Linked DNA regions of Alligator mississippiensis. Each later gene encodes a partner of the first gene's protein in a complex. Links are inferred from orthologs where the notes say so. Each region holds a gene or a part of one and is shown on either strand. Other genes may lie near its edges.

The links.
Region 2: the proteins of LCK (region 1) and CD8A are in contact, whole or in part, in an NMR structure (PDB 1Q69), measured with the Homo sapiens proteins. The link is inferred for Alligator mississippiensis from reciprocal best matches to the Homo sapiens genes LCK and CD8A. Residues at the interface, in NP_001036236.1 of Homo sapiens: Cys20, Asn22, Cys23, Tyr25, Pro26, Ile27, Val28; in NP_001139345.1 of Homo sapiens: Arg212, Arg213, Val214, Cys215, Lys216, Cys217.

The regions. Positions count from the first base shown.
Region 1 is NC_081829.1:5,613,690-5,623,882, forward strand, and holds the start of LCK (tyrosine-protein kinase Lck), read left to right. Parts: upstream 1-5,958; 5' UTR 5,959-6,299; intron 6,300-10,193. Other genes in the region: protein FAM167B, read left to right, coding at 1,328-1,591. UniProt on the Homo sapiens protein: Non-receptor tyrosine-protein kinase that plays an essential role in the selection and maturation of developing T-cells in the thymus and in the function of mature T-cells. Plays a key role in T-cell antigen receptor (TCR)-linked signal transduction pathways.
Region 2 is NC_081825.1:14,440,430-14,451,499, reverse strand, and holds the start of CD8A (T-cell surface glycoprotein CD8 alpha chain), read right to left. Parts: upstream 4,488-11,070; 5' UTR 4,209-4,487; coding exon 4,169-4,208; intron 3,228-4,168; coding exon 2,868-3,227; intron 2,535-2,867; coding exon 2,439-2,534; intron 1,595-2,438; coding exon 1,484-1,594; intron 1-1,483. UniProt on the Homo sapiens protein: Integral membrane glycoprotein that plays an essential role in the immune response and serves multiple functions in responses against both external and internal offenses. In T-cells, functions primarily as a coreceptor for MHC class I molecule:peptide complex.

The DNA.
Region 1 (10,193 bases):
CATCACACCTGTGGCCTGCAGGTGTCCATTTGAAGAGCAGCACCAGGCTAGATCTTTCTTCACAACCTCGAGCTTCTGCAGCCTCCTGCTCCTCCAGGCAGGACTCTCAGCCCAGCTGGCCTTTGGCATCTTGTGGTCGATACCCCTGGGAGCATTTTGAGGCGTCTAAATGGCCGTTTTGGTGCCCTCCCCAGGGCTCATAGGGCACTTTGTCTGCCTGGGTGCATCTGCGCATGAGCTGTGTGTTCCCTGCTGTGGCAGGGCGGGCTGCTTCCTCTGCTTTAGTGGGAGGCTGGGGCAGATGTGACCCAATTTTGGTGTGACCCATTTTTTGGTGCCCCATGGCATCACCCCTCTCAGCTGGGGCTGTCCCAGTGCATTCTGGGACTGTCGGGTGGCAGGGTCAAGGGCTTCCAAAGGAATGCTGTGGCGTAGCATCGTGGGATGGAGCCGTAGAGGGCAGGAGGATCGTTGAACCAGAGCAGCTGCAAAGAGCGTGGCTTCATCCCATGCTAAGGAGAAATCACTGCAGCCAGGACTGATTCGTCCAGACCCGAGGGAAACGCCCTGCAGCAAGTGCTTATCAGAGGCCTGGGGCAGCTTTCGCATGGGCGTGTGCCGCTACATGTTTGACCCAGCTGTTGGTGCCATTCTGCTTTGCCTTGAGTGATCTGGACGCGTGTGTGTGTGCACGCGTACATTGATGTGCGACTCTGGCATTTGCCTCTGTGTCGGTGTGTCCTTGTCTGTACATCTGCAACGACGTGTCTCCTTTTTTGTCCACGTGTCTGCGATTCCTTGTGCATATCTGGCTGCCTATCTTGGAGTGTGTGTGTCAGTACAGCTGTGTGTATGTGTGCCCATCTGTGTTTTTTCCATGCATGTCTCCTACCTCTCTGTGTGTTTGTGTCTCTGTCCACCTGTCTACCCCTGCCCATATCTCTGTGTGCATCTCTGGGCCTCTGTCCCGCTGCATCTTCTCATCCTGCTGCCCATGCGGCTCTGCTGGGAGCGTGTCGACTAAGCCAGCTGCAGGCATGGCTCTCTATGCAACGCTTAACCCAGGCAGCCTGGAGCCACAATCACTCTAGAAAGGCAGCAGCATGTGCTCAGGGGCCCCCAAGAGCTGCTATGGAGTTGAAGCCTACGAGCTGTGCTACAGTATGTGTGCTAGCTAGGAGAGAACAGGCAGTGCAAGGCTTGGGTGGGCATGCTGTGGTCATGCCATGCTCTGCTGTGCAGACCTCCCCGCTGGGGCTCCTCTGTGTCTGGCTCCAGCGCAGTCTCAGTGGTGGCTCCCTCATGGCTCTTCTTTCCCTCTGCACAGCAGGAGATGCAGGCCGTGGACCACCAGCTGGCACGGCAGCTGATGCAGCTGCGAGGGCAGATCCACCGGCTGAAGGTGGAGCAGGCCTGCCACCAGCACAAGGAGATGCTGGACGATGCCACCTTCGGCCTGGAGGGCTGTGAGGAGGACTCAGACCTGCTCTGCAACATCCCACCCAAAGCTGCCTTCCTCCTTTCCACGCCGCTCAAGCACATCGGCGTCACCCGCATGAACATCAACTCCCGCCGCTTCTCCCTCTGCTGAGGCTGCCAGGCTCCCCCAGGCTGTCGAGGGGCACCGCCTGGCCCTGAACGTGGGCAGCTGTACCACGCATCCCTGCAGAGACGCTCAGGCTGAATGTAAGAACCCAACAGGCAGGTTAGAGGGAAAACAGTGCGGGGTTGCAGTATTGCAGGCTGCTGGCTCTGGCATCCTGCTGCCTTGCTTGCTCCTATTGCCCAGAGGTGCCTCATCTCTCCTTGCTGAGTGTCCCTTGTTGGCGATACTGCAACAGCTTGCTTGAAACCAGACCTGGCAAGACTGGGCCAGGGCTGCCCTGATCGCCTGGGACCTGAGGCATGGATGGAGCTGGGGAAGTTGGACTCGCCTCACTTCTGTCTTCAGTCCTCAGCTCAATCCCTTGCAACTGGAGGGATGTGCGCTGCAGAGGCTGGCGGGCAGCAGGGGAGCTGAGCCCTGCCTACTGCCATCACATTTGGCCTATTGGCTGCCTCCTGTTGCCCTGCGGTGGCTTTTGCCCTCTCGCTCCTCAGTCCCTGCTCCTGGGGGGTCTCTGCTGTATGGAGCAGCATCTCCAGGATGCACAGAGCTCTGCATTTGCCATAACCCCTGAGCCTGCACAAGGTGAGCAGCCCTGCAGCCATGTGGCGTGCACAAGGCGAGCCAACTGTTCCCAGCAGCATGTGATGCTGTCATGGGAGGGGAGGGAGCATCGCTGCTGGAGCATCTGCGGCTGCAGTGACGCATGCCACGTTGCTGGAGGCTGCTTGCTGATGCTGAAAAGCATGAGCAAACTTTCCATGCAGCAAGAAGAGAAGGCGGTGCAAAGGCGGCTTGCCTTCTGTGTGTCGCATGTGCTAGTGGCCTCCTTGCCGCCCCCAGACTTGTCTGATCCCAGGCTTGCACAGACGGGGCCTCCCTCCCCTGTGCCACACACCTACGTCGAAGCCCCTACTGCTGGCCTGACTCGGCCTGGGGATTACTTCTGATCAAGCCATCTAATCCATATTCCCCCAGCCTTGCGCTGAGTGGGCCAGTCCCCTCCCCCTCCACGCTGCTTCTTGGTAATGGCGGAGGAAAAAGGCGGCGAGCACCTTGGGTTTGTCGCTTGCTTCCGCTACACGCTGCTGTTTCCATTTGGTTTTGCTGAGGCCTCAGATGAGAGGGGTGCCGGCTCTATGGGGAGCCGGTGAACAGCCCCACCGAAGCAGGTGCCTTTGTTTGGCCACATGCATGGCAGCTTCTGTGTTTCATGTTCTCTCCGGCTTGTGTGATGACTTACCCGCAGCTGGGAGACTTCGGGTTTTTTTTCCTCAGCCCTGCAGGGGCTTGCAGTCCCCACCCTGACCCCTTGTTTGGGAAGCTGATTTTTCCAGGGAACGTTTGTTCCTTTGGCTGAGAGTGATGAACCCTGACTTGACACTTTGCCGCGGATCTTGGAGCACGGTGCCAGATCTGTGGAAGCTCACAGCCTCTGCTGAGGGCCATCGACCAAAGAGGGAGGCTGCTGCTGATGGAGGCATGGGTTGAAAGTAGTACAGCCTGCTCCAAGACACCTGCAACTTGGGGACAGAGCTGGGAGGAGAATCCAGGGGCCCTGTGTCCTGGCCCCCTGCTCGGCTCAGACCCTTAGTGAAGGAGCTGAACCCTGAAACCCTGGCTGCAAATTTTCAGCCCTAAGTCCCGCAGCTTCTGTTAGAACAAATTGCTGCTGGTGCAGCGAAGAAGCCTGCTAAGGATCTTCTGGCTCCAAGCCTTCAAAGAAAATACAGGAAGATTGTCAGAGCTTCACAACACTGAGATCCCATTGACCTTTTTCAAACAAAAAAGCGTTCTTATTTTGCCTTGAAAAATGGACTGAGTCCCTGTCCCTCCCCGCCCCGATGCTTTATCATAAAAGCAGTCAATATTTTTGCCATTTTTCAGTGTTTTTGATGATAAAAGAGGATGCTAGATTTTTTTTTTAATGATCTGTGCTGGCAGATGGGAAGTGGGTGCTGATGGTTTTGTCGCTGCTTTCCAGTTGCAGAGAGGCTGAAAGCCTGACATATCCTTCGCAAAGCGAACCTGTCTTTTTTTGTACAGTTGCCATAACAGCAATAAAAATGATTGATTGATGCTTTGATGGTATTTATTTATTTTTTGGTCCTGAAATATCCTAAAGCGGGTTTGCAAACTTTTACGCCATGCAAGAGGCTTGTTTTGCCTACCACTGAAACACAGCCTGCTTTGGGGTGGGTCAGAGCAGCATGTTAACGAAGCAGAGCAACATTAGGACAGGAAGTGAAGCTGAAACCACATCCAGTCAAACTGGGAGAGGAATTCAGGTCTGCAGGTACATGAGCAGGAGTCTGGACAGGATGCCAAGTTGCTAGGTCAGCTGGGTGGAAGTGCTGAATTGAGGGTGTTTTAATCATTGCCTCCTGCTCAAACTGCCCTTTCCGCTAGCCCCCTGGAGAAGTCTCTCCGAAGACAGCTAGCCAGAGCCCAAGCTAGAGCAACATCCATACGCGCGTTGCTGCCTGTGGGACAATTGCTGGCATAAAGATCGCAGCTGGGCTATGGGGAAGATGGAGGCGCTTCACTCCTACGGTTGCCCTTGTTGTTCAAAATGCCCCTGACATGTGCCCGGGCATATCGCCCTGTATGGAGGTCGTGGCCCCCCCGTCGAGCCTCTCTCCCCTGTTGCTCTGTGTCATATTCTCTTGACTTCCTGCCTTCCTTCTTGCAGAGCTGGCTGTTGGTACCTGTGGCTTTGCATTTGATCTCACAAGCCAAGACAATAGCTTTGTGGTTCTCGTGCTGTCAGCACTGGCAGAGCGTAGGGCTTCGGAAAGGTAACATGGAGTGCCTCTGAAGACGATGTCTTCGCTGCTCAGCCCCTCTCTGGAGAGGAAAGAAGAAAGCCAAGCCCTTGCTCTCTGTCAGAGAAGGCTGGCTCAGTTCCCCTGTGGCTCATTACCTGCCTCTCTCACGGCCTGGCATATGTTTGCTCTCTGGGTGGCGATTCTGGAGATGCGTGTCCTGGTGCCTCTGCCACCGACTGGCTGTGTGACCCTGCCCATGTTCCTTCCTTTTTCTGTGCCCCTGTTTCCACTCCCACCTTTTATTTTTCCCCTTCTTTTTAGTCTGCAAGCATTGCAGGGCAGTGGGTTTTCTCTCGCACCATGTGTGCAAAGTTTGGGGCTTTGTGCAAGTGGTGAAAGATGAGGTATGATGGAGGACTGCTGGGGAAGAGAAATTCTGTTTCATTTCTCAACAGAAGGCAGGCTAGATTTACATCTTATAGACTAAGTTGGAGATAAGCTTTTGGTAAGCACAGGGCTCTCTCACTTATTGACACTGGGCTTTCAGGACATGTTCACACCTCTGAACCCTTCACCCTCCTTGGCCTTGTCTACCAAAGTCCAAGCAGAACTGCTGAGTTAGCAGCCAAGCTGCAGCTGCTTGTGGTCTGCTCTTGGTGGTGTGTTCAGGCCCTGGTACTTAGCACATCACCCAGTCACCGTGCAGGACGTGAGTCAGGGGTGCATTTTGCTCTGTCTGCTGGTAACGGTTATCACTTGTGCGGTACAGCACAGAGTAGGGGGAGATCATGACATGGAAAATGATTCGGCTGTCCTGCTACAGCTCCAGGGGCACAAGTTCAAGTCTTATTCTGGACGCATGCCAAAGGCTGCCCCTTGTCAACCAAGGTGGGTATGGGCACTGGACCATTCAGGCTGGAGAATCATTAGGATTGTGTGTTTTGGGTAGGGGGACAGACTGGCTTTGATCTTGTTGAGAGTATTGGCATCATTATGCTGGACATTGTGCTGGGACCTTGGATTCGTGGCAAAGATAAAGAGACCCCTTTAACAGGAGAGCAAGGCCAGCGCCGTGGTGAGGGAGCTATCCAGGGACTCGGGGTCAATTCCCTGCTCTGCCACGTGGGGCTTGTGTGACCTTGGTCATGTTGCTTAGCCCCCCACCTATGCCTCAGTTTCCCGAGGGGAAATGGCACCTTCTTACCTTGCAGGGCTGCTTATCCTCAGTGATGCCGGGGACTGGGGCCATGTCAGGGCCATGGAGAGAGTTCCAGTTTTGTGTGCATCAGGGCATAGTCACCCAAACTTGGATCTTTTAAACTTTTGCATTGCCCTCCTGATATGCGCAGCATATCACTTGGCGCCTAATTAGGATGTAGGCCAGAATTCACCCCCACACTCCTACCTTCCCCCACATGTGCACTCTTAACATCCTCTCTTTACAAGACCAGCCGAAAGCATCTGCAGTACGCCGGGTGCTGCATGTCTCTCACTGGACTTCCCTGCGGGGTGGTGGGTGGCAGCAGGAGTCACAGCCAACACCTGTGTCGGCAGTGGGGAGATGATACCCAGGCAGTGACGGTGCCCCTCTGTACCGGCAGCTTCCATCTTTAGAATGACGGGCCTGCGGATGGCAGGAAACCTCCCTCGCTAGCATGCTGTGGTCGGGCGAGTGCTGAGAACAAACTTCTAGAGCTTGCTCATGAGATTGCAGAAGGCAGGAAATCAGGGAAGGCAGAGTGCGAGAGCGAGCGAGACCGTGCTGCTGCCATTCCCTGATGTGAGGACAAGCTGGGCTGCTGTCCGGGAGGTTGTATCCATGGTCTACACCCCGAGGATGGAGACTAGCATGTGACTGGGAAGGTGCTTTCACTCACTGGCCATGGAGATCTAAAAGCAGCTCAGCTCCATCTCACAGCAAGCAGGTAAGGGAAGGGCTGGGGCCGTGTTGGGTGAAAAGAGCTGTGCCTTCGGGCTGGGATCTGGGGATTGCTGTCATGAGCGGGCACGGAGTGGCACTGGGGTCTGTGCCAGCTCTTCCCTGGCTGGGAAGCGATGGTTCCTCTGGGGAAGAACGACATCTTTGGGGAAGGACTTGCTTTTTGGTGGGGGTGAAGTGAGACTATAAAATGGGAAATGAGTCCATCACTATGGTATCAGGCCAGTACACAGAGGAGTCTGGCTGCTTAGGCTGGTCGCGGTTGGGGTACGGGGTCCTGTTTGAAAGACCTTTGGACTGAAAGACCCATGTTTGCCGTTGAGCTGTTTGAGTTCTTGAGTTGCTGCCTCTAACACAAGCCCTCATCTCCCTGCCAGCCCTCCCCAAATCCTACTAAAACTGCTTTCTAAGGGGATCCCCAGAGGGACTGTCCCCAGCTGGAGTGAGGGTGAGGAGTCTAGTGAGTCACTGCTTCCAAAGTCCCAACTTCCAGGGCAAAGCGAGGAGGAAAGCTGGGAGTTGTGCCCTGAAACGTCAAGCGCTCTGTCTAATCTGCCTTGGATCTCCCCGTTCCTGAGCTGCCAGCCTTGAAGCTGGGAGCAGGCTGGAGGGTCTGGTTGGTATGGGGCTGTTTTGTCTTGGAAGTGAGGAGCAGGGCAAATCCGTGTCTGCAGTGAAAGGTCACTGAATTACCCCTGGCTGGTATTGTGGTCTATAGCTTCTTAAATGCAGACTCAGTGCAGAACTGCCTGCTTGTCTGAGTTCAAACCCAAATGCAGCTGCAAACCCAGGCTGTGTCCAGTTCTCCAAGCTGCCCCCTTTGAAGTTGCCTCTCTGCTGACCCCAAGCCACAAGAAATAAGAGAAGGGACCAAGGGGCAAAATTCAAGCTGTGTGGATCCAAGATTTCGAGTCGGGACCATAGACGGGGTAGCTTGGCAGCTGTGAGCCTGAGGCTGCTCAGACTGTTATCCGGTCCCCCTGGTCTTGCAAAATATTCTGGGAACTGGATCTTTTGGGGCTGACCTCACTGGTCATATGAGAGACACGGGGGTCATTCCTGTGGGCAAATCGGTACTGTCCGAGGCTGAGGGTTGTCTTTTGTGGTGAGCAGTGACTACACTGACTGCCGCGTTTGCTTTTTAAATGTGGGCGCTGTTGTCCTTGGTCAAAGCAAGGCTACTGCAGCATGCTTCGATCGGGGGTGTGGGTCAGATGAGAGAGGACCACAACATTACTGGACATCCCTGGCATATGTTCAAGGGAAAATAGTTTCTCTCGCCTTGCCATGCTCCACCTCCAGCACATTCCTCCTGAACCAGGGGGCCCAGCCCGATCCAAGGAGAGAGGTGTTCCCGCTCCCCACCAAGTCTCACCCGGGCTTGGCATGAAGACGCATAGAAGTGCAAACACGCACACGGATTCGAAGACAGATGCCATCATTCAGATAAACACATAGCCCTGTGACTGTCAACCAGGAGATCCTTTTTGGGTGTTTTGCAATATTAGCGCTGTTAAGTGTGCAAGCACCTACCCACGGGTCAAAGGCGAACCCAGCCATTCCCGATAGGAATCCACAGTGTCAAACCCATCCTGCCCTGCTGCAGGCTTTCCAAGCTCTTTGCAGCAGAGAAATGGCTGCCTTATTTTTCTGCAGTCAAAAACACGAGTGCAAGTTAAGAGCTGGCATTTTCTGAAGGGGGCCTCAAGTCGAACAGGCTGGAGAACCAACGATGCAGTTGCACAAATGCGCCCGGAGGCAAGCAGAGATGCACACACACCCAGAAGAAACAAGGGCAAACACGGACAGATGAGCACACACAGTCGCCCAGACAACTGTGCAGAGCTGCAAACCCACGGGGACCCGCACGTACATGGGACCGAAGCTAGGCAAACACACAGACGCAGGCATGCACGCCCCCCCACAAACTGACACCAAACTTCAGTTATGCAGGCAAAGCCAGTCACCAGAGAGAAACAAAACAGACTTCAAAGTAGCCCCAGGTGCTGATCAGGTGATACAGCTCCTCTGTGGAAATTATTTTGTGGCTTAAGCAAGAAAGACAAAAAGAGTCGTGTCCCCGTCCCCCCCCCTCCGCCCCGACTCCTGATTCTCATAGGAAGGGGGGCACCCCAAGCGTGGCATCATCTGCATTTCGCTCACAGTCATGTTTCAAATGCTTGATTGTATCTCTAGGGGATGCTGTTTGAGGGAGTTGCTTTTCTTCCACAAGGGTGGATATTTCTTCGATTTTTCCACCCCTCTCTTGCTAAATGGGAGATACAGAAGTTGCATCTGCCTGGCTCTCCGGTAGTCCGTGGGGTGCCTTTTACAAGATGAGGATCTAGCATCTCCTGCATTTCTCCAGAGCAGCGGTTCTCCACCTTTTCTGTACCAGGACCCACTTGTAAACATCGATGGCCAGTCCTGACCCAGTGCCCCTCGCTCCCAACCTGCTGCCCCACTCCAGGCCCCCAGTGTGTGGGGTAGAGGGTGGGTATGGGGGGCCCCAAGCAGCCCCTTGCAGGCTGGAGCTCTGTCAGCCTGCAAGGGAAAAGCCGTGGTTTCTTCTCCTATAAAGGAGAATCCATTTTTAAAGTTTGTTCATGACCCTTTCACACATTCTTGCAACCCACTTTTGGGTTGCAACCCACTTTTGGGTTGCGACCCACAGGTTGAGCAACGCTGCTCTGGAGCACTTTTTTGGAAGCCGACCTGGCCAAAGTGATGGGGCGCTGTGCCTTTCACTTCTCGGGAAGAAAGGCCCGAAGGCCGCAGTGCTGGTGGTGGCGGCGTTACTTAATTGCATCTGTTTTCCCTGGTGCTGGTGGAAGACTCGTTGTGTTGGAGTCGGGGCAGAGGAGAGGTGCCCGAGATGGGCATGAAGAGCTTTCTCTGCCTTACTTGCAAAGACCAGAGGAGCTGGTTTATGGCAAAGGGAGATTTTTTTTCCCCCCAAGTGTTAATTAGGTGTTAGTGAGAATAAAACCCCCCAGCTTCTGTTCCTAACACCTTGGATTAAAAAAATTAATTAAATCGTTCCCTTTAGGTCCTGACCCCCCCCAGCTTCTGTTCCTAACACCTTGGATTAAAAAAATTAATTAAATCGTTCCCTTTAGGTCCTGACCCCCCCCAGCTTCTGTTCCTAACACCTTGGATTAAAAAAATTAATTAAATCGTTCCCTTTAGGTCCTGCCTGAACTAGAGCTTTATGTCAGGGCTGAACTTGGCCGTCTCCTAGACCCTGGTTGATGCACAGAGCCCCCTCCGTTGTGTGCTGTTTAGGAGGACAGAGGTTGGGATACTCAACACAAGGCCATGGCTCACATAGCCCAGAACACATAGCATGTTGCCGCTTTCTAATTTAGGATACTCAAACTTTGTTGGATCTACGGAGGCCTTACTCCCCTGACCATGTGGGTCGCTCAGCAAGAGCTGCTATTTCATGGGTACTTCCAGGCTGTGTGGGTACCCTCTGCTTTTTCTGCTCTCTTTTGCCTTTGTTATGAAGCAGTAGGTTTCTGAAACTGCGGGAGGATGAGTTTCATGATGTTTTCTCCCATTTCCACCCAAAGCAAACAATGACTGATTTATAAAAAAAAATAAAATAAATAAAAAAATAGGAAAAAAGGCGGGGGGGGGGGGGGGGGGGGGATTCTCAGGCAAGAACCAAGAGGTGGTTGAAAACAAATGCAGCGCAATATTGCTGCGACGTTTCGCGTCCTTCCCAGCAGGTGATGAATTCTCTTCTCCTTACTCGGCGTCATCTGGGCTCCAATTTCCACTGAAGTCAATGGAAAGACTTTAGGCTACGTGTAGGATGGGCAGGCTCGGAGCGTCTCGCTTGTTGATGTACTCTTCCAGTGAACTTCCGCTGTCC
Region 2 (11,070 bases), on another chromosome or scaffold:
GATCTCGATGCCACTCGTATATTGGAGAAATAATTGCTTCAAGTGAATGTTCACCGAAACTTCAAATCGGCATAAAGAGCAAAAAGAAATTAACTGACGGCCGATATTCCAGCTAGCTGGATTTCTAAAATGCCTGTTCTGGTGTCCTACCCTGGGGCATAGGATTGAAAGCGTCAAAGACTTTGGATGCTGTGTGCTGACTTAATATGTCCTCACTTGCTTTGATGAAACAGAAGGGTTTTTTTCAGCGATAGACATTTCAGTAGTATTTTGTATTATACATCGCACTGCGTATGCAAGACAGTGGTGGCTTATTACTGGATTGTTTATGCCTTTGGTACTCTCGGGCTTTGGCAGTTCGTATTTCTCAGGGCTGATCTGATGTGGGAATTTCACTGGTTTAATTCAATCAGGTTTGAAATAGATTTGAAATGGTGCCACCCAGTCAGTAGTTAAATCAATTTGTGACAAGTTAGCTTAGGTCACTAGCAAATTGGTTGACAAAGGGACTGAACCTAGTTAAAGAAATCAGTGTCGCTTCTCTTGGCCCTTACCAATGAAGGTTAAGTGATTGAAGCCCCCTGTTGACCCAGCTGTAAATGGGGGCCTGGGTATTGTGGTGGTGGAATCGGAGAGAGCTGGACACGATGGCAGTCGCCTCCTTCCCTTGTGTGCTATCGGTTGTAGGCGCTGATATGCCTTGACTGCACTGGCCAGGGCCTCTCAGTCTGGGCAGAACATTTTTGCCATTAGTACTCTGTCGCCATGCAGCTATATAAATTGTAAATTGATTACCTTTGTACCTTTGTTTAGACAGAGCATTTGCACTGATTTATGTCTCTCAGTCTCTGCCCTGTTACAGTTAAATGGCTCATCTGGGCATAGTTGCACCAATATCAAGGTAATGGCCTCAGTGTAATTTGTCATAGAGTAATAAATTCCCTCTACTCGTTCGTGAGAGCTGGGATTCAGCTGGGGTGCTATGGCATACACCTACATATGATTCACGAGAGAAACCCAGCCTTTTCAAATGAGAAGTCACAATGACAAGACCAGTCTTCCTTCCTTCCTGAGTTCTTTGCACCACAAGAATTGCTCTAGTATTGTTCTGTCAGCAAAAAAGGAGTGCAAACAAAAAGCTGGCAATTTCCACGGGTGCCTTGAGTCTAAAAAAGGTTCTAATATTTCTCTATTGTCTAATCCCTCTTTAGACAATACAGCTCTCTAGCAACTGAGGACTTTACAGGAGGGCTTTATACATGGAGACAACACTAATATTAAGTTTAGCTTTGTTACATTCTTCAGATGCACGGCACCCCACTTGCACAGTGCACGCGCCAAATGCCTGCGTTTCTTTACAAAGCAAGTGGCTGCAAATGCCAACCCCCTTGCCCCCTACCCCATGTGTCCCTGTTCTGCTGGAAACTTCAGTCTGCCTTTGGGTGAAGGGGGGACTGTCTTAAACAGGGGATGGTTCTCTTACTTTGACAGGTTATGATGGTGGCCAGCAAGGCGATGAGGAGGAAGAGGCAGGTGCCTGCTAAGGGGATCCAGATGTAAAAGTCACAGTTCAGCCATGTGTCTTGGGTGAGTGCTAGAGAAGGGAAAGAGAGCAGAAACGAAAAATAAACCAGAGGCTGGCAACAAGGCTCATCATCCCCAGCACAGCTGCAGCAGCCTCCAGCAAGGTGGGGGCATGCAGTTTTCTTTGCGCTGCCCTGGTCCCACGCCCCTGCCTTTCTCCCATGCACTTCAGAACCAGCCAGATCATGCAGGGGCTCTGGCGATTCCCCGACTGGGTCACTGGCTGGTTTGGGGCAGATTTTGGAGGTGAGGGTGGCAGGAAGCTGTAGTGGGGGGGAGATGGCTGCAATTCAGCATAAGAAAGAGCTATGAGATACACTTCATGCCTGGGAGGGATCATCCAGGATTTTCCATGCTCTGTGAAGTTGCTACCGGCTGGGCTCACAGCCGGGAGGAATGGGCAGGTGACTGGGAGGGATTATATTGCTGTGACTTGTTTGGTAAACCAGCTGTCTGGTTCCCTAGGCTGGAAAAGCACGCTGCCCAAAGCCTGCTGAACTTGGGAATGGGCCCTCACTCCCTGATCTGCATGACCAAAGCATGAGAGCTTTCCCAATCTCTTGAATACCTGCGCACCCTAGGCCCTGAGCTGTGGCAATTGCTTTGCAATACTCTCTTCAGCCTGAGAAAGCCACCGCTGGCCCATCTGGAGCCAACCCAGAAAAATGTGGAGCAATGTCATGTCAAATACTAGCAACCTCCCCAGTACCCACATCCCAGGAATGGGAATCCCTTCCCAGTCTGTAGCTGGGAGAGGGGCTTCAGGAGGGTGCTGCTCCCAGCCCAGCTACCTCCCCAGACCTGGATCCCAGCTTGCAGCCCTTCTCCCCAAAGCTGCATGAAGATGCTTTTACCTGGACTTTGGGTGCCTGGGCAGGTTGTCATCGCTGGGGTTGTGGTGATGCGTGTGGTGGTGGCTGCCGTTGTGGTGGGCGGCTGTGTAGAAGGCACTGTAAGGAACAATAGGAGGAACAATAGGAGGCTGATGAAATCCATCTTCAACCCTTTTTCCACCCCAGTCTTGCTCCTCAACCAGGGGTCTAAGGCTCAGCTCCCAGATACCCATGCACAGCCTATCTGGACAGAAACTCCTCCTCAAAGAGCTCCTCTGAGGAGGAAACTCCTGAGGGCCACGTTCCCAGAACAGGCTCCAAAGAGCAGCAGACTCCCATGTCTCTCTTTCTGTCTTATTCCCAGACAAAAGGGATGGAGGGTACTTCAGTGGTGACTGGGATGCTAAGGATGCAGCTGGCAGGGTACTGAGGGCAGGGGCTGGTGCTGACCTGGCAGGAAGACCTGTTGCCCGGAGCTGAAATGCAGCATTTGGTTCCGGTTGACAATGCAGTAATATTCCCCCTGGTCCTGCTCCTGAAAGGGCTTCACAGTCAGTCCGTAGGTGCTGGGCTTTTTACTTCCTACATAGCGTGCTTTGTCTTTATTGCTTGCGTGTGTCACCCGGGAGATGGAAGAGATGAACATGATGAAGCGGAGGACAGAGTCCTTGCCTTTGTGCATCCAGGACACGCCGCTGTCTGACAAGCTGCTGTCTGTGATCACACACTCCAGCTCCACGGAGTCTCCTGGCTTCATGGGTCTGTTGCTGAGGAGTTTGACCTGAATCTGTCCCTGGCACTTGCAGTGGCCTGAGGGAGAGAAGATCACCCAGTGCACTTACCAGCACAGCTCTTGCCAAGGAAGAGACAGCATCCTCGCTCCATCCCAACCCAGAGCCCCATCCCCTGGGCAAAGTCTCGATCCCCTCTGAGTAGGGCAGCATGCTGTTGGATCAGTGTGGTCCTAGTGTGCTCAGCAATCCCTCTGCTTCTTAAAACCAGCTGTCCGTCCCCCCAAAGATCATCCCATTCAGAGGAGCCATCTGTATGGAAGTGACCCTTACCAGGTCTTTACAGTGCATTTGTGCTGCTTCAGGGGTATACTTGGTAGCCGTGTTGGTCTGAGACAAAAAGACGTACAAAAAGCTAGAACTCTTGGTTCCAAAATGATAACACAGCTCACAAAGACACTCGCATGGACCCAGAGGGACAGCCTTCCACCTTCAGCTCCCTCTGTGCAAAAATGAAGTTTATTTCCTACCTACGGGGACTTTTTACCATCTTGTACCTTCGACACTTTTCCCAGAGTCTGATGAAGGGACTTTGATCCCAAAAGCTTGCAGAAAAGGACAATTTTATTGCTATTTTCCAGTTGGTCTAATAAGAGGTATCATTTTGGAACCACGAGTTCAAGTTTTTTGTGTGTCTTTGTGCTGCTTGTGTTTAGAGCCCGCAGCCCCTCCACCCCGGTCAGGTGCTGCGCTCAGCCCCGACAGTGCACATATGGAGTGTCTCTGCTGCCAGCCCTGCCTGCCCAAGATTAGACTTGGGCCCTTTTCTCTGCTCGCTCTCAGGATCTCTGTAAAACAACTAAATGGAAAATGAGCCTCTGATTGCTTTCCCCCTGTGCTCAGACACTTGCCCTTGTGCTTGGCATCCACTCTGCAGGGGACCTGGAGGGAGCCCCCTGCCCTCCCACTCCTCCTGACTCCTCTTCTAGAAGAAGGGCTCAGTAGCAGTTCCATACTCACACAGACTGAGGAGAAACAGCAAAAAAAGGGATCGGGCCATTTTCTCCTTGCATCGGCTGTCCTCAAGGCAGGCACGGCAGAAAGAGATGATCTCACCGGGTTGACTTCACAGGACCTGGTGGAAAGGAAGTGATGTCAGCGGGACCACAAAGAGAAAAAAGTTTTTCAGCTCCCAAAGTAAAATATACTCATGGAGTCTGGATTTCTTTTTTAAAGGATGATATGTCAGCTACGTGATCATCTTTCCACCTTTTCTTTGTGCCATTCAAAATGCTAAAAACACTTGAGCACTGGAGCCTTGGATCAGTGGTTTTCTACTTTTTATGACCCCCTTTTTGATTCACCCATGCAGAAGAACAGAATAATCACAGTTCCCGGGTTGAAAACCCCTGGTTTAAACCCTAAATTGTAGATTCCCAATGGAAAATCTGTTGTGTAATCCTGAGCCTCAGTCGGGTGCTATAGTGAGGGAGGATACCCATGCAATGTGTACCCTACTGATGCACTGGCTTATAACATGCCATTGCACATCTGCTGTGCAATATATTCCTGACCTGGCAAGAATACTTTAGATGCAAGATAACACAGGGCTGACATGTACGTTAGTTCAGCCTTCAGTTGAGCGTTTTCATGTTTGCAATTTCTTTGCTAACGTTGCTTTGTGCAGCTCTGAGGGTCTGCACTGCTTGAAACCCACCAAGAAGGTCCCATGAAGCTGGTGGTTTTTTTTCACATCTTGTGGTTTTTGTCTCTTAACCACCGTGACTTCCGCTCTCCAGAAGTGGAGCACATGTTGCACAGGGCCTTTTGCCTTCTGTATCTGGGCCATTGCAGACAGATGGTGGGTGACAATTTCTGAGACCTTGCGTGGCACAGCAGATACTCCCCAACATCAGAGAGGCGCTGACTTGGGCTGCAGGAGCCTTTGTTTCTTCTCATGGCTGCTTCTGACGTTCCTTTCTTTCAATGCCAACCGATCGTGCAGCAGGGGGTCTCAGGGGAGCTGCTTTTCCATTAGCTGCTCGGATGAAAACATGCATTTCCCTTTCAGGCTGGAAATGAAGCACTGCTGGCTTTTGATTGTTTCTATGGCTGCTACTTTGATGCAACATCTTTGAGAAAAGCAACACACAATGTTGAGTGACTGGCCCCATTTCAGCAGGCATGAAAGGATCTGGAGTGCACGTGCTTTTTCTAATTTGTGTCTTTTCTGAGATGGTTCAATGAAAGGGGAAGCAATTTTCCATCAGGTCTCACTACAAGTGAGCATCTTTGAAGCTATGAAACGTGATGCCAATTCCTGCCTGCCTGTAACAGATGTTCGCAATATTAAGAGAAAACATGTTTCATAGATACAACACAACTGTGACCTGTTTTGCATTAAGAAGAAACATTTATGATTTGTACTCAGCAAACACGTAGATCAAGAATTACTATCGAGAGCCTTGAGTTGTGTCCAGCGCTGTCCCTTTTATAACTCTCTGACTCAAACTTAAAGTGAAAATATCCTTTGAAAAGCACAATAAACCAATTAAAATAGAGTTAAAGACCACCTGGAGTTCTTCACATGGTTCCCTGTGTTATTACATTAGTTCAGCATCAGTTTGGATGGAGACAGAGGTATAGCTATATCAATCTCTAAAATGTATTTATTTTGGAGTGTTTTATGCAATCTCTAGGAGGGAGACCAAACCTATATTACACTTTTTTACTTAAAAAAAAACCCCTATACGGTTACTTTAATATTCTACATATTCAAATGCCATAGTGAGAGGTACGTATAAGGATTTGTTGACAGTGGAGCAGAGTCATGGATAAACTAGAAGGGGCTTCCTAAAGGGGATATACAGTATCAGGATATGGGCAAATATACTTGTTAACCACTTTAAAAGGGGAGGGTGAGCTGCTGCTTGGGAGTCTATCGGCTGTCATGGTGTAGCTCAGGGGCGTCAACCCCCCGCATACTGGCCAGATCTGGCCTATGGAGCCACATCATCTGGCCCTCTGGGCTTCTCACGGATCAGCTAGGGGGGAGCGGTGGCAGTGTTAATTGCCGCTCCTCTGCGGTCTGTGGGGAACTTGACAGACTGGATAGCATGGCCCTGTGCGCTAAATTGGATATATGCAGGGTTGGGGTGGGACAGGGCCAAATCCTAGGACATGGGGCCAGGCTAGGGCAGCACAGTACCCAATCCAGGCGCGTGGGGCCTACCCTGTGTGTTGACCCCATCATGTATCCAGCCTGCAGACTGGCCCCATTGCATGCATCGGGCCAAATGGTTGGATCCCACTGGTGTAGCTGTTACAGCTGCCAGACCCTGGCATGATACAAGTGAACTAGATTGCTGTTGAACCTGAATGCGACAGGTTTAAAGTTACAACAGTCTTACGACATCTGTATTCATGAACGCTGCATGCCCACAGTGGCTGGGGGGAGGGGGGGGGGCAAGGCAAGCTCCCGCAGGTAGCAGTGCCGTTGGCAGCAGGAGCATGGTGGCAGTAAGTGGGGAGCTCCCACAGGCAGCTGTGACGTTGTCGGCAGTAAGCGCCGATCAGTGGTCGGTGACTACCCGCAAACACCACTGGCAGTGGCGGCGGTGGCCAGTGGCGATCATGGACCTCCTGCAGATGCTGCTGGAGGTGTTGGCAGCAAGGGGGGTAGGGGGGGATAGTGAGCGGTGACCACCCACGAGTGCCGCTGGCAGTGTTGGTGGTGCCTTTTTCCAGAGGGCACCGGCACGCTCGGGGTGCATGTGCACCTGCGTGCACTCCCTACACATTGCCAATGTCTGTATTTTTACAGGAGGATGCAACTGGAACAGCTAAGTCATAACAGTTAGTGTCATATCCTTTGATACTGATGCAATACTTAGGTCTCTATACCCCAGTTCTCCCAGGTCCACTTACCAATAAATACTATTGTTAGTCTGCTGGTGATGTCTGGATACCAAAGCACTGTTTCCTGGCTAGTACTGGGCAAGAATATAAGACAACAGATCTCTATCCAGAAGAGTTGATCACTTAAATGGGATTCCATGCATCTTGGCTATTTCCAGCAGGACTTTACATGTTCTTAACAGTTCTGTGGATACCTTTATCTTTGCGTTGTCATCTGCTGAAATACTTTATGACTCATTTTTATGAGGAAGACAATCTTCATGTCATTCGTCCATTGTCACTGCTTACTATGCAATGTGGATTGGTTCATCTCTGGTACAAACGCAATGTGAATGACATTAGGGGGTGCTGTTCATTTATGTTTGTTGCAATGAGGACAGGACAAACAGCCAGCAGTTGCAAAAGTGGCCTTAATTAATTCATTTGCTGTGGACCTGATTTTTAAAATCAAACCCTCTTGGGTTAAACTGAAGTCAGGGCAGCCATTTGACTCCTTGATTTTAGCTACACATCAGGTGTTTGGAGATCAAAAGGGTCTAACCAGAAGAAATGTATGACTCCTTTCTGTCTGCATCTATCTGCTCCGACTTGCGACCTTTTAGGGCAGGGAGCATATTTCAGTTGTGTCTTTGTACAGCACAGAGCACAATGGAACAGGACTCTTAGTTGCATGTATTATCAACAACCACAACTGCACCTGAAAAAACTGTAGTGCTTTAATAAAAGCAGACCCTACATAAATAAATAATAATAATTCCACAGAAAGGCCAATCCTTCCATGCAAGGGCTAGTGGCTGATTTCAGTTGCACGGGTGCAAACCTGCTGTGATTGTCTCCATATCAGGGGAGTTGCCAGGAATCCACACCAACCCATCTGTAATAAAACTCGATCTGCTTCCTGCTCAGCTTTTATTCATGGCTTACTTGTCTTCACTCTGGGAATCTTCTCCTGAATACAGAGGAAGTGGAAACACAGAGCATTTGATCATGCTGCTCTACCAAAATAGGAAGCACATACATATTTTCTACCTCTTCTGTGCAGGTGGGGAACAGACTGCACGCGAGTGGGTGGAATCTCTCCACTGACTCTTATGGGAGTTGGGTTAGGCCAGCAGTTATGTAAACAGGTTGTAAATCAAAGCACTTTGCTGGGCCTGGATTGTCACAATCACTTGGGCTAAGTACAGACAGTTAAAAAGCCTGAGGCTGAATCAATTCAGTCTTTGCAGGTTTGTCTAAATTGCAGAGATTAAACTGAGAAACAACTGGACACACATTTACTTTTGATTCAGGAAATTCAACCACATGCCTGCAGTGGCTCAGACCAGAAGCTGAGGGGCACTAGAACACGCCTCTCTGGCACATAGCCAGCATGGGCTGTGTGTTTGCTTCCTCTTCCTGCTGCCTCCAAGGTGTCTGGGATTTGCAGTCCAGAATCACAGCAGCAGGATTCTGCAGGGTTGCTCATCACTCCCTCTTCCTGCTACCAGGTGCCTCTGGGATTTGTAGTCCACAGTCACAGCTAGCAGTAAGTTTCATGAAGTTTAGCAGCAGGGCAGCTCTGTACTCTGGGCAAGGTGGGTTTAACCCCTCTCCCTGGCCTCAGACCCCAGCTGAGGTTTGCCTTGCGGGGGGGAGGGGGTGCAGTCTCTGCCTCTCCCTGCCTAGGGTTACCATATGATTGGGTTTTCCCAGACATGTTCTCTTTTTTGGACCCTTGTGTTGCACCCAGGTGGGTTTTTAAAATAAGAGCAAATGTCCAGGTTTTCTGCTCTCCTGGTCTGGCTGCTTGGGGTTGAGAGAAGCAGGCAAGGTGATTGGCTATCAGGGTTCACATGCTTCCTGCATGGGCTCTTGCAAGCCAGAGAGAGAGAGAGAGAGAAGGCACACGCGTAATGCGGGAGCTGCTTGGGCAGCAGGGCTGGTGGGGAGGGGTCTACGGGTCAGAAGTGAGGGGCACCAGCAGGGCTGGGGGAGAAGGGGCTGTGGGTCCAGGGTGCAGGACACTGGCAGTGCTGGGGGGGACGGGCTATGGGTCAGGAGTGAGGGGCACGGGGGACAAGACAGGTGAGTATGGGTTGGGTGTGCAGGGCACTGGCAGAGCGGGTCAGGAGTAAGGGGCACCAGTAAGGGGTGGGGGGCAGGGTACTGCTGTTTGGGAGTGAGGGGCACTGGCAGGGTTGGGGTCAGTGGGTGCAGAGTGAGGGGCAGCAGCGGGGCTGGAGGGGTGTGGCTTATCAGTGAGGGGCAACAGAATGGGCAGGGGCAGGGCACCAGCATGTCACTGCCCTCCCCACCATCATATTCCCCCTGCCCTCCCCGACAGGTGTCTTCTTTTTTGGACCTGGAAATATGGTAACCCTATCCCTGCCCAAACCCTTCTCTGCTGGAGCAGACAGCCCAGCCCAGCCCAGCCCAAGGCTAGAAAGCATGCTTGGGGACTGTGATTTAACTTGAACCAGGAAGGGGTCTGGGACAAAAGTTTCATAAACTGGTTTGGCCCAAATCAGTTAAGTCTAATATACTACATTCAACCAGGTTTATCTTAAACCAGTTTCATCCATTTTGAAATTGGTTTATGTGTACTGAACTTCTATTCAGACAGAAGGAGAAACATTTTTGGGGGGGGGCTGAGCATGCATGTGCAGGTGTACACACTCCCCCACACAGGAAGGTCTGCGGGGAAAGGGCCATGTAGGGGTGGGGGGAATGGGGCTGGGACCGGGCAAGGATTGGAGAGGAGCTGGGCCTGGGATTGGGGCCAGGGCCAGAGCCTGCTGTGCCCATTCCTTCCCCTGTGCCTGGAGTCATTGCTCGGTACCAGTAGCCCTGTGATTCACTGCCCCACACTGGGCCCGGCTCCGGCCTTGCACTGCCCAGGGGGGCTGGTTATGGGGTCAGCTTCGGCTGCACTGCTGGGCCGGAGGGGATGGAGCCCATGGGAGCCCTGTGCCCACCCCCATCCTCCCCAGGAGGAGCCTGGCGCCTCCTCTAGGGGCAGGGCACTTAGCAGCCAAGGGGAGCACTGGCCTCTCATCTTTGTACGGGACAAAGGCGGGCTACAGCTGCGAGCTGCACTCTGCCTGCTCCATGCCTCGCTGCTGCCTTTGAAAGCAGCGTGGTGCAGCACCATGAGAGTCCCACTGCTGGGTAGGCCGGGCAGTGAGGCACATGGTGCTGCACCATGCTGCTTTCAAAGGCAGCAGTGAGGCATGGAGCAGGCAGAGTGCAGCTCACAGCTATAGCCCTGCGCAAAGATTAGGGGGCCACGTGCCCCACTTGGCTCTCTGGCGCCATGCCCCTGGAGGAGCCGCTGGGCTCCAATTGTCTCACGACCCAGCCCCGGCCAGGCTGGGTCGTGGGACAATCAGAGCCCGGCAACTCATCCAGGGGCATGGCACAGGGGAGCCAAGGGGGGGAAATGTGCCCCCTCTCCCCTGGCTTCCCCATAGTGTGTGCAGTGGCGGGAGCCACCCACCCACACCTCTGGACCAGCCACAGGGCTTCTGTTGCCCCATGACCTGGCCCAGCCCTGTGAATGGGGCCCCAGCCAGGCCAGATCATTGGGCAATCCCCACAGTGCAGCAGGGAGCAGGGCAGGGGTCTCCTACATTGTGGGGGTCTCGATCTGCCCCCCAGAAGCCCAGGTGAAGAAAACTGAAATAAACTAACCTGCCTGCTCAGCTGGCTGTGATCCTGGCTGCACAGGGTATGTGTGTGTGAGCCCCCTCCCGCCTGCAGAAGCCTGCGGCCGGGCTGCTCTGGGGCCCTACCTGCTGCCTGCATTTGGGAGGGCTGAGCCCGGTTAGCCTCCCCCTTCCTCTGCCTATGATTCTGTTACAGGTTTAAGCCAGTTTCTGATCACTTAAACCGGTTTATGTATAACTTCTGTGCCTAGCCCAGGAGTAATGGGCATTTTCTCAGGACTTGCTGAGGAATCTGGGTGGGTGAAGAGATGCTGGATCCACTAACGCTTTGGCTTGGGAGACAGGAGGCACTTTCTG